Kluyveromyces lactis: one gene and its partner. Each later gene encodes a partner of the first gene's protein in a complex. Links are inferred from orthologs where the notes say so. Each region holds a gene or a part of one and is shown in the gene's direction. Other genes may lie near its edges.

Evidence for each region. The genes of interacting proteins can lie anywhere in the genome.
Region 2: NIC96 (region 1) and GLE1 share a complex: the UniProt entries of both Saccharomyces cerevisiae proteins name them as parts of the nuclear pore complex. The link is inferred for Kluyveromyces lactis from reciprocal best matches to the Saccharomyces cerevisiae genes NIC96 and GLE1.

What each region holds. Positions count from the first base shown.
Region 1 is NC_006041.1:1,252,188-1,258,212, reverse strand, and holds NIC96 (linker nucleoporin NIC96), read left to right. Parts: upstream 1-1,417; coding exon 1,418-4,000; downstream 4,001-6,025. Other genes in the region: PDH1 (putative 2-methylcitrate dehydratase), read left to right, coding at 1-909; type 1 protein phosphatase-activating protein YPI1, read right to left, coding at 4,248-4,715; proteasome regulatory particle lid subunit RPN11, read left to right, coding at 5,398-6,025. UniProt on the Saccharomyces cerevisiae protein: Functions as a component of the nuclear pore complex (NPC).
Region 2 is NC_006039.1:1,324,365-1,330,778, reverse strand, and holds GLE1 (nucleoporin GLE1), read left to right. Parts: upstream 1-3,293; coding exon 3,294-4,928; downstream 4,929-6,414. Other genes in the region: SEC26 (coatomer subunit beta), read left to right, coding at 1-1,767; MRPL7 (mitochondrial 54S ribosomal protein uL5m), read right to left, coding at 1,984-2,853; FMN1 (riboflavin kinase), read left to right, coding at 5,308-5,865; YCX1 (Ycx1p), read left to right, coding at 6,362-6,414. UniProt on the Saccharomyces cerevisiae protein: Functions as a component of the nuclear pore complex (NPC).

The sequences.
Region 1 (6,025 bases):
ATGTTGGGTCTATCAGAAGCTCAGACCACAGAAGCTTTATCTCATGCTTTTGTAGATGGACAAGCTTTAAGAACTTATAGGCATGCTCCAAATACTGGTTCCAGGAAATCTTGGGCTGCCGGTGACGCAGTGGCAAGAGCTGTCAACATTGCATATTTGGTGAAGAATGGAAGTCCAGGTACAATTCCTTCCGTACTAACCGCTAAGACATGGGGTTTTTATGACGTTCTTTTCAAAGGTAAACCATTCACCTTCCAGCAAAGGGACACTTTCGGTTCTTATGTGATGGAAAACGTTCTTTTCAAGATATCGTTCCCAGCAGAATTCCATGCTCAAACGGCAGTGGAAGCAGCTATTAAGGTGAATAAACAGTTGGCAGAGTTGGGCAAAACTTACAAAGACATTAAAAAGGTCAGAATTAGAACTCAAGAAGCCGCTGTGAGAATTATTGACAAGGAGGGTCCATTGTACAATTATGCTGACAGAGATCATTGTATTCAATACATGACTGCTATTCCATTAATTTACGGTAGACTAACGGCTGACGATTACAGTGATGAAGTAGCAAGCAACCCTGAAATTGACGAATTGAGAGCTAAGATGTATTGTACTAAAGATGACCAATTCACTTTGGATTATCATGATCCATCAAAGAGATCAATCCCAAACGCTTTGTTAGTAGAATTGAATGATGGGACTGTCTTAGATGAAGTGGTCGTAGAATATCCAATCGGTCACAGACTAAGAAGAAAGGAAGGTGTCCCACTATTGATGCAGAAATTCTACCACCATTTGCGTGAACATTTCGCCGGCGATATTGAAAAGGTGGAAGCTTTAATGGAAGCAAGTACAGATGACGGTTTCTTAAACTTAACTGTTGATGAATATGTCAACATGTACTGCGATTAAGCTTTGTCCTTCGCACAGCATCATCAACGTATAACGACCACAATCAATTTTTCATTTCATTCAACTCTTTTTTTGAACTAAACGAAGTAAAACCTACATTTCAATGGTAACCAAAACAACATTTTCTATTCTACAAAAACTGACCACAGGAATCAAAAGATTCTGGCAATCATCAATTCCAGATTACAATATATAATTAACTTATTTTCTCTTGAGTTAATACATACATACTTATGTTTTAATATTAATTACTGTCATGATCAATTTCTGGCTGTCCATTTTTTTGTCCCGTCACATGTTCGGGTAACGGTGCAAAACATTGTAGTTAAAAAAAATTAGACAGAAAACAATAAAAGAAAATGTAAACTATCAATACGTTGAATAGATGATGGAAATAATTCATTGAAGATACTTTGAAAATCAATACACATTGTTGCTATCCATCGCATCAAATTATCTTTAACCCGTTCAGATTTTGGAATTGTAAAATCCACACAATCGTGGAACTATGAATATCAACAGTCAAATCAGCAGTGATACAATGCTATCTGCATTTCAAAACGATGCAAAGACTAGTGGCTCCACGTCTAAGAGCTCATCGAAATTATTCAATGAGCTTTTAGAAACGTCAAAGAACTTACCTTCTACTTCATCTGACCTTGGAGCTATCTTATTGAGTGTCAATGAGATGAAAAAGAGGGCACAGGAGATGCGTAAGACAATTCCTCACGATTCCAATCATACAAAAGCTCATTATCTCTTAGCAGGAAGTGGACTTGAATTTCACGAAATTGAGAGTTCCTTGAAGAATCTTAAGTCATCAGAGTTGTTAACCGAACAACGGGTTGCACAAGGCTATAACGATGGTGATTTGGACACTTATTTACATATTAAGAAGGATGAGAATATCCTTTCCTCCATTGAACAATCATTGTCTTTAGCAGCGAAGGATTTTGATAATTTCATTAATCAGAACTTCAACCTAGATTGGAAGCAAAGGAAAGATGAAGTAAGAGAAAGCTTTGGGATCCTAGTCAAGAAACGTCAGGATAGTTCTAACTACGATACGACTAATTTGGCTCCTTTGGATCCCAACGGTCCAATATTTTGGGGGAAACCACCTGGTAGTGGTATCTTGGATGGTGATTTAAATTCAAATGTCAATGGAAATCACATCCTTAGAGAAAAGTTTGAGAAATATGCCAAAATTATTTACAGGTTTAACAATTCAAGACAATCACATAATGACGATTTTCAATTAACCAAAGAGTTCATTGCCATCTTTCAGAATACGACCGACTCGAAGTATAGACAGCTACTTGACGGTTGGGAGATTATAGATAATGCAACAAATCAATCCCCAAATATTGTTGAGTTTTCCAAAAAATACCTAGAAAACCAGTTCTTGAGCTATGTTGACAATTTGTATTCAAAGAATCCAAGCGAAGGTTTACCGACCAATGTTAACAAAATTAGAGCATTTATTGACCTCAAACTGAAGACTGGTGAAAATACTTGGAAATTTAACAATCTTACGATTGTGAATGGAATTCCCGTATGGGCCTTGATTTTTTATTTGCTAAGGGCTGGTTTACCGCAGGACGCGCTAGAAGTAGTTGTTAACAACAAATTGAGTTTCAAAAAAGTGGAGCAATCTTTCCTAACATACTTCAAAGCTTATGTAACGTCTCCTGATCATCGTCTTCCACAGGAATTTGTCTCAAGGTTGCATACAGAATATAACCAGCATATCAAAAACACTTTGGACAGCGATCCGTTCCGTTTGGCGGTCTACAAAATTATTGGCAGATGTGATTTGACAAGGAAGAATATCTCTTCTATTACTCTAAGCGTGGAAGATTGGTTATGGATTCACTTGATGTTAATCAAAGATGATATGGATATGGATGATCCAGTATATGAAAGGTATACCCTCAGCGATTTCCAACATACTGTTGTCTCTTACGGTGAGTACATGTTTAAAAACTATTATCTACAGGCCCTTTTGTTAAGCGGACAATATGAACTAGCAGTACAGTACTCATACAAAATAAATGAAATCGATGCTGTTCACTTGGCAATTGGTCTAGCGGCAAATGGCATGTTACATGTGTCATCTTATAAAAAGGATGAGTTGATCTCCGTGAATGATGGCCAAACAAGGATAAACTTTGTTAAGGTATTAGGAAATTACACAAAGTCGTTCAAGTACTCTGATCCAAGAATAGCTGTCGAATATCTAATTCTCATCGCACTAGTGAATGAGAAAGAGCAGATTGAATGGGCGTATGAGGCACTCAGGGAATTGATCTTGGAAACTAAAGAGTTCACCATACTTCTCGGAAAGATCAACTCTGAAGGAATTAGGATCCCCGGTGTAGTTGAAGAAAGACGCCCATTATTACAGCTTGAGGACCAGAAGGACTTTTTGTATAAGATTACCGAACAGGCTGCTCGTAGGGCTGATGAAGAAAGAAGAATTCATGATAGTTTGTTGTTGTACCAGTTATCAGAAGAATATGACATTGTTATGTCCATTATCAACAAGTTATTGGGAGAACTTCTAAGTAGCACTGACCTCAATCAATCCCTCTTTAGGTTGAATGACAACAGCGAAACGAATTACGTCTTAATGGCAAAGAAGTTAATCGAAGTGTACATCAACAACATCGAAATCTCTAAAAAGGTTCAGGCAAGAAACAAAGAAACATGTATTGTCTTGTTGAAACTAGCTGATATAAGAGCATCATTCCTAGCACGCCAATGGCAAAACACCCTACAACAGATTGAAGATCTCGATTTAATTCCGTTCACGGATGAAAGCTCGACCAGAAAAAGAGCACAAGAATTTACACATTTGGATGAGAATATATTAAAGAACATACCTAACCTGTTGATAATTACAATGCTATGCATTTCTAACATCATAAAGCAGTTGAACGAAAGTGATTACCAATCTTTGACTAAAAAGCAGCAAATCGATTCTCTCAAACGTGTTGCTAAAAATTGTATGATTTATGCTGGTATGATTCAATACAAAATGCCAAGAGAAACTTACAGCATATTAATCAATATAGAAGTTGGTTTGTAGCAGAGCTCTCATTTATGAGCACCTGAGTTATGTCAGAACCCAGACGTCCTACCATAATAGCATACAATAAAATAACCATGTGTAAGTCGATTGTTATTCGATATAATTGCCTGATAGATTATATATGCATATGTATATATATACATTTGAACTGCCAATTACCTTTTCAGCAGTGCATTGTTGTAGTGAGTAGAAGATGCAACGAAATGTACAAGAAGTGAAAGAGTATGCTGATCAAATTCCTAAATCATTGAGCGTCTTTTCTGTTCTTATCTCTATAAGCGCTGTAATCTGGCTGGACTTCGTATGCATTCGGACTTGGTGGACGTTTTTGCTCAAGCTTTTTTCTCCGCCTTTCGAGTCTTGCCTTTCTTCTTTCGTCAAAGCTTTTTCCCTCATCCTCGTCTGAAGAAGACGAAGATGATGAAGACGATGAATCATGTCCATGATTATGATCGTGCTCGCACTCTCCTTCCTCTTCTTCATCACTCTCTAATGGGGTATTAGGATGGAAAATGCAACAAATCTTAGTTTTCTTCTTGTTCATGTTCTCATTATCTATTACTTTCTCATCCCATCTTACTTTAGACTTGGTGTCCTTCTTCTTAGTTTTGTTTTTCTCATTCTGGCCAGCACGCAATTGAAGCAGCTGCGGAACCTCCGTAACAGTGACGGTATGCGTTCCTTCAGGAAGAGCAGAAGGTCCTTCACTCATATGTTAGGAAATATTTCAAAGTTTAATTATGATGATGGATCAAACTGATAAAAAAAGCGTGACGATAGGTAAAGTTTTCCTGTCTAAGTCTTGATAATCTTTCGTAATTTCACTTATCAAAGGACTGGGAACAAAGTATGAATAATGTAAGAAATCGTTTCCTATTTCTAAAATCTTCGGCGTCAATAAAACGGAATATTTTCTTCAACAAGTCGTGCTCTCGAGTATTTGACTGTACTAGACCATGGAGCTTCGCTTTGTATATGAGATATCCATGTATGCATAGAAGTACTCCAGTCTCATCTCATTTTTAAAGGGAAGAAAGAGGTTAAATATCTGAAGGTCAGAAAGTGGTGATGTTCGTTAATAATGACTACTAAATCCATAAGCCAAAAGAAAGATCGTAACTTTGTAATGCAGTGGCAAACAGTTTACAATTGATAAAGGTATAAGCAGATAATTCGTCAAGAATTCTCATCTCTGTACGTGTGGTATCCATAAGTCATTATTAGCAGTATTAGATACACAGTAATTGAAATCTACAAGACAATTGCATACTTCTCAGGAAAGAATAAGAATTTCAATTTGTTGGTACTTTATTAAGGAAGTATTATATCAAGAAACAGAACGCTGATACAAAAGCCAATTTATCGTCTCCGCAATTCAAATCCTTCAACAAAAGATGGAAAGTTTACAAAGAATGATGATGTCTCAAAGAGCAGGCATGATGGGTGCCAATGCCACCGAGGTTCCCCTTGATGACACCAAGGAAACTGTGTACATTTCTTCTCTTGCATTGTTGAAGATGTTGAAACATGGGAGAGCTGGTGTTCCAATGGAAGTCATGGGTCTTATGTTGGGAGAATTTGTTGATGATTATACAGTAAACGTTGTCGATGTGTTTGCCATGCCTCAGTCAGGTACAGGTGTTTCTGTCGAGGCTGTTGATGATGTTTTTCAAGCTAAGATGATGGATATGTTAAAACAAACAGGAAGAGATCAAATGGTTGTCGGATGGTACCATTCACATCCGGGTTTTGGTTGTTGGTTATCTTCAGTAGATGTGAATACTCAGAAATCATTTGAACAATTAAACAGCAGGGCTGTGGCGGTGGTTGTTGATCCTATTCAATCGGTGAAGGGTAAAGTGGTCATTGATGCATTCAGACTAATTGACCCTTCTACTGTCATGAGAAACCAGGAACCAAGGCAAAATACTTCTAATATCGGGTTGATCAACAAACCGAATATTCAAGCGTTGATTCATGGTCTAAATAGGCATTATTACTCGCTTAATATCGATTATCACA
Region 2 (6,414 bases), on another chromosome or scaffold:
ATCAAATCCATTAACAAAGTGGCAATAAGATTTATTGAAGTCTCCTCCAATGTTGTCTCATTGCTTCTAGATTTTATCGGTAACTTGTCGTCTGAAAGTGCCAATGATGTCATTTCCTTTACAAAACAGGTCATTGAAAGGTATCCTGAGTTAAGATCTGAGATTTTAACTACTTTGATTGAGACATTGCATGAAGTAAAGTCAGCAAAGGCTTACCGTGGTGCTCTTTGGGTACTAGGTGAGCATGCCCAATCCGAAGCAGAAATCCAGAATACCTGGAAGCACATCCGTTCAAGTATAGGTGAAGTTCCAATTGTTCAATCTGAACTGAGAAGAGTTCAAAATGATGACGAAGACGATACTGAAAAGGCCCCAATAGTATCCACAGGGCCGGTAGTTTTGCCAGATGGTACTTATGCAACCGAATCTGCTCTATCTGTCTCAGAAAAGGTCAAATCCACCTCAAACGAGGAAAAAGAAGCAAGACCTCCTTTACGTCGTTTCGTCCTAAATGGAGATTTCTTTACTGCCTCTGTGTTGGCTAACTCTATCGTTAAATTGGTGTTGAAATTCGAAAAGATTTCCAAGAACACTTCTGTAACTAACGCCCTAAAGGCCGAAGGGTTGTTGATTTTGGTTAGTATCATCAGATTAGGTCAAAGTAACTTAGTAGAAAAGAAGATTGACGAGGACTCTGCTGAAAGACTAATGACGGCAATTTCGGTATTGATGGACGAGATTTCTACCGAAGAAAGTCAAGCAGAGAAAGAACTTTTGAGTTTGGCATTCTTGGAAGCTACCAACGAATCATACAAATCAAGAGTCAATGTTACTTTGAAGAAGAATGCTGCCAAGAGATCAAACTACCTAGCCAAGCACGCCGAGGCCATCGATAAATCCATCGTTTTCAGACAATTTAAGAATGCAGGCTTGCACAATACCCCCGTCGATTCAATCGAAGAAGATATAAAATTGGCTACCACCGGTACTGTATCATATTCCAAACTACAAGCTAATTCTATCACTTCAAAATTGAAGAAGATCGTCCCATTGACTGGTTTCAGCGATCCTGTTTATGCCGAGTGTTATATCACTAATCACCAATTCGATGTTGTGTTAGATGTTCTATTAGTGAACCAAACCAAGGATACTTTGAAAAACCTACATGTTCAATTCGCTACTCTTGGTGACTTAAAAATTATTGACCACCCACCTAGCACCAACGTTATTCCACATGGGTTCCACAAAATTACGATAACAGCAAAGGTGTCCTCAGCAGATACTGGTGTTATTTTCGGTAACATTATATATGATGGTGGTCACGGTCAAGATTCTCGTTATGTCATCTTGAATGACGTTCATATCGACACAATGGATTATGTGAAACCAGCAATCTGCGATGATAACAGTTTCCGTAAGATGTGGAATGCGTTTGAATGGGAAAATAAACTTCGTATCAAATCCAAATTACCATCTTTACGCGGTTATTTAGAGAAGTTGGTGGAAGTTACACATATGAAGGTTCTAACCCCTGAAGAGGCACTCGGCGACAATGATTCCAGATTCCTAAGTTGTAACTTATATTCTAGATCTACATTTGGCGAGGACGCTTTGGCTAACCTGTGCATAGAGAAGGATCCAATCACACAAGAAATTGTTGGTGAAATCCGTATTCGTTCAAAGACCCAAGGGTTAGCTTTAACCAATGGTGACAATATTACCAGAATGGGAAGAACTATGAATATCGTTAGTGTTGATCGTGTTTGAGGTTAATAATTTGAAGACTTTGATCTCACCAATTACCTGTAATGCAATATATATGCCACTTTTTACTTATTGAAATCTATTACATATAAGTGTACATTAAGAGACGTCGACATTTGTATAAAGGTAGTCATATACATATAATGCTGATAATTTTTTTATCCTATTAGTGAGTGTTATTTACAGGACGAAAGACAGGATAAAAACTACTTGGGAGCATTAATTGATCTTTTCCGAACCGTTGAAAGGAAAACCGAATCCACTGACCAAAGTTCTAGCCTGTACGTCAGTTTGGGCAGTTGTGTTGATGTTGATGTGCATACCAAAAGTTACTGGCCAAAGATCTTGATTAGCATCAATCTCTGGGAAAAATCTGACTTCATCGCTGGTCATACCAAATGATAACCCACCAAATCTGTTACCTGACTTGTTGGAGATACCTTTGTATTCTCTGATTCTTGGTAGTACAATTTCAGTCAAAGTGGATAAGAACTGAGACATTGGACGACCTTTCAATGTAATGACAGCACCCATTTGGGTACCTCTTCTGACCTTCCAGGCCGGAACATCATTCCTAGAGAACAAAGCCTTTGGTTTACACCCGGTAATTTGTTGCAATTGTAATGCTGCTGAAATTGGTAGATATTGGTTCTCTTTTGCATCTCTGACGTAACAGTTAATAACAACGGACTCGATGTCTGGAATGTTCTTCCACGTTACTGGATGAATATCTGGCAATTGAGCACTTGAGCCCTTAGGTTTTCTGGGTTCTCTGTTAATGTGATATGGAGAAGAACCGTCCCATTCTCTTTGCTTCAACCCGAGCTTCGTTTGGCTTTTGTGGGAATAATTTATCAATAATAAATCGCTTTGTAAAGTATTATAATAATGCTCACGAACACGGTCTTGATGTGTAACAACAGGCTTGAATGCTGGAGATCTAATATCGTTTTTACTATATTTCAATTCAGGAAACCTTGGGGATAGCTTGCTCTTGTCGATCTTAACCAAATGATGCACTGGCTTAACCAAAGCACAAGCAGCTTTGGAGACCTTTGAACTACTGTGGAAACCACGTACCACTTGCATTATCACTTGGTATCTTCTCACAGATGCGAACGAATGAATGTATAAACCTACGAATGGGAAGGAATACTGCTTTAAATCGAGTGAAACTGATCAAATCTCTATCATTATCTTACAGCTTTAGCTCGAAAGGTCGAAAAATTTTTAAAACTTTCAAGTACAGAGAATTCAATATACGTCACGTGACAAGAATCAACAAAAAGTGAAATTTGATTAAAAACCAGGTAGAGCTCAGTTGATGATTATAGAGAGTGTTGACCTTTCAGCCCTTGTGTTGATGCATTGCAGCCGTTTTTTTTTGATCCCGTACTTAAAGACACGTAGCTGGATTCTCCATTTAGGTAATAACAGTCGAACTTAACCCCGAATCGTTTACTTGAATTGAGCTTTTTACCGATTTGATAAAGTAAAGAAAGCGATTGACACATATCAGGACAATTGAGATGAGGTTCTCATTTGACGAATTGTACGAGAATGCTGAACGGAAACAGAGTCAGAATACCAGCAGCAGTGATTCTGACTATGAATTAGACGGGGAGTTTACGTATATTGGCGATCCATCTGATGGGATCCAGTTAAAACTACCGAAATTATACCATTCTTCAAAGAATGACGGCCAAGGTGAAGAGCAAGGGTTTAGTTCAGGAGATACAATTTCTTTAGAGGATGTGGTAGAACCAGAAATAGTTTCAATGCTTTCCAACTTAAATATCACTCTTGAAAGGAATGCACTACCGCATCTTACAACGAGAGGTCACGAGAATAAAGCTTTAGGCCCTGTTCTTATTGACGAAGCAGAACTTTATTACCAAGAGAAGAAGGATTTGATTGACGAGGTGGAACAACACACCTTTCCTATGCAAGACCAGGTGCTTGAATCTGTGTGGAATGAGGAAATTGATTCAATTGAAAAGGTGAATCAACGTTTAATTAAAAGCATAAAGGATAAAAAGAAGAGGGAAGAGGAAGCACGTATCCAGAAAGAATGCGAAGCGGAGAAGCGCAGACAAGAAGAATTGAAGCATAAAAAGGAGATGGAAAAGAAGTTGAAGGAGGAAGAGAAACGGAAGATTCAAGAAATGGCAGAAAAGGAGAAGAAAGCTGAAGAAGCGAAGAGAGTAGAAGCCCTGAAAAAGAAGCAAGAACAAGAACAACTGGAGAGGAATAAACTTAAACAGTCCAAAGAATCTACAAATTTCAAGTTAATCGAAGAAACTTTTACTAAATACAAAACCATGATTCAGACAATTAAAACAGAAATAATTGAACCGGTGAAGGCGGATCCCACCTTGAAGAAAACTTTAGCACAACATAAGAGGAAAATTAATCCAAAATTCGGACAATTAACCAACAGTACTGCACAATTGAATGCAATCACCAATGAACTTACCGAACTGGTACTTCAAACGAAGGCTAACCAATTAGCCTATAAATGGATTCTAAACTTTATAGCTAAGGCGATTGTTTCCCAAGCAGAATCTGAGGCCAGAGTGAAACCTGAAAGCGCTTTGCCTTTAGGAACACTTGCGCTAAGTCTTCTTGCATCATACCCGGAACTCAAAGAGTTCTTACTGGCGAGACTCATCAAGAAATGTCCGTTTGTTATCGGTTACACGTGCAGCATAGACACAGTCGAAGGAAGAACCAGAATGGGATGGAAACGTCAAAGTGACAACAGATGGGAAGAAGATATTTCATATGATGAAAGGATGGGTGGTATGATTACCTTGTTTGCTGTCATCACAAGATTACCTCTACCGCAAACGTACATTCAGAAACTTGTGCATCCTTTCCCAATCTCTTGGTCATGGAGAATGCTAGCTAGAATCGGCAACACTCCAAAGGATCTACTTACAAATACACACTTCGTCGTTCTTGCCTACTGGTGGGAGGCTGCGGCAGCACAATTGCTCCAAGCATACAACGTTCAGGCAACAAAACTACTTGAAGTTATTTCGATTGATTTAACTGCACTTGTTGCTGACAAAAAATTCGTTGGTGCAGCAAGACTCCGCATTATTAACGAGGAATGGCATAATACAAATCAAATATCATCATTCCCAGATATGGCAGCATAACGGCTAGAGTTTTCTCTAGTAAAATATATATATATATATATATGTATGTATACCTTCAGATCTTCGTTTTCATCATGTGTTCAGGGCATAGTATATGCCTTATGTTCTCATAAAACTTTAATAATGAGGATTCAAATATTTCCAGAGAGAGAGCGTACCTCATTGCCTAGAAATACTCCGCAACTGTTGAACAAACCATGAACCCATTTTCACGTGCCCATTTACCCTTTTCTTTCTTATTCTTACTTGCAACAGTCTTTATACTCAAAGAGTTCGAACCTTTAAAAACGTAGTTTGAATCTTGTGAATACTTCCATGTGGTTATCATACAAACGAATAACGATCGGATCATCAAAAACTCGCAGTAAGACCTAGAGCAATGACAAGGCATTGTGACGTTTCGATACCGGATTCACCTGAACCTCCTTTTCCAATTACCACATCGTTCGTCGATGTAATAGCTGGTTTCGGTCGTGGATCAGCAGAGTTAGGAATTCCTACAGCGAACGTGCCCATCGATGATTTACCAAAAATCGTGGAGCAACTAGACACAGGAGTTTATTTTGGATGGTGTAAGGTAAGGATGGCAAAGGACCGTGACACCAAGGTGGAACAAAGACCCGATGGCAGAGAGGTCCAATACAATAACGGTACCTTACTAAATGACGAAGATTTAGCAGTTCTTCCAGTGGTACTTTCTGTTGGCTGGAACCCATTCTACCAGAACAAAAACAAGACGGTAGAACTACACATAATCCACAAGTTTTCTGATAATTTCTACGGTGCCCAAATCAAATTCAACTTCTTAGGGTATATAAGGCCCGAGTTAGACTACACCACAAAGGACGCATTGATTGCAGATATCCATACCGACATTGAAATTGCAAAAGAGAAACTACAATTACCTGGATACCGGAAACTTAAGGATACTTTATAAAAGTGAAGTTTGAGAATAGAACAGCTGATCCTCCAGCTTATACGATGACTAACTCAGTTCCGCCCGGAAGATAACTGAGGCAGTTGATAATATCTTCTTTTCCAGTTGATTTCAAGAATTGTGCACATGTATTTATACCATTATTTAATAGAACATTTCATAGAAGAAAATCATTGCTAAATGGAAAAGAGTTCAAGGCAAGAATTAAAGAACAGGCGAGGTCAAAAGACTCACTGACAAAGGCACAACTGACATTTAACTGACCTGAGTACGTTCATCTGTTTGCGTATATCTCACTTTTTTGGATACTCTTTTTCGCCAAGTTGAATAGCCGCATCGCCCATTTTTGGTATATTGCTCCCCAAAAGGTCTTGGTTCTTCCCTTTAACCATTATTCAATCCAACCATAGCCGAGCCACACATACAGAGAAGTCTGTAGTTATTTGGACAGGGCTCAGTGGCTGAGAGAAAACACTCCCTCTAAGGTTCGAAAAGAATGCCTTTGTATCGAAGGAAACTATTTGTACTGACTTTTTACTTGGGATTGAC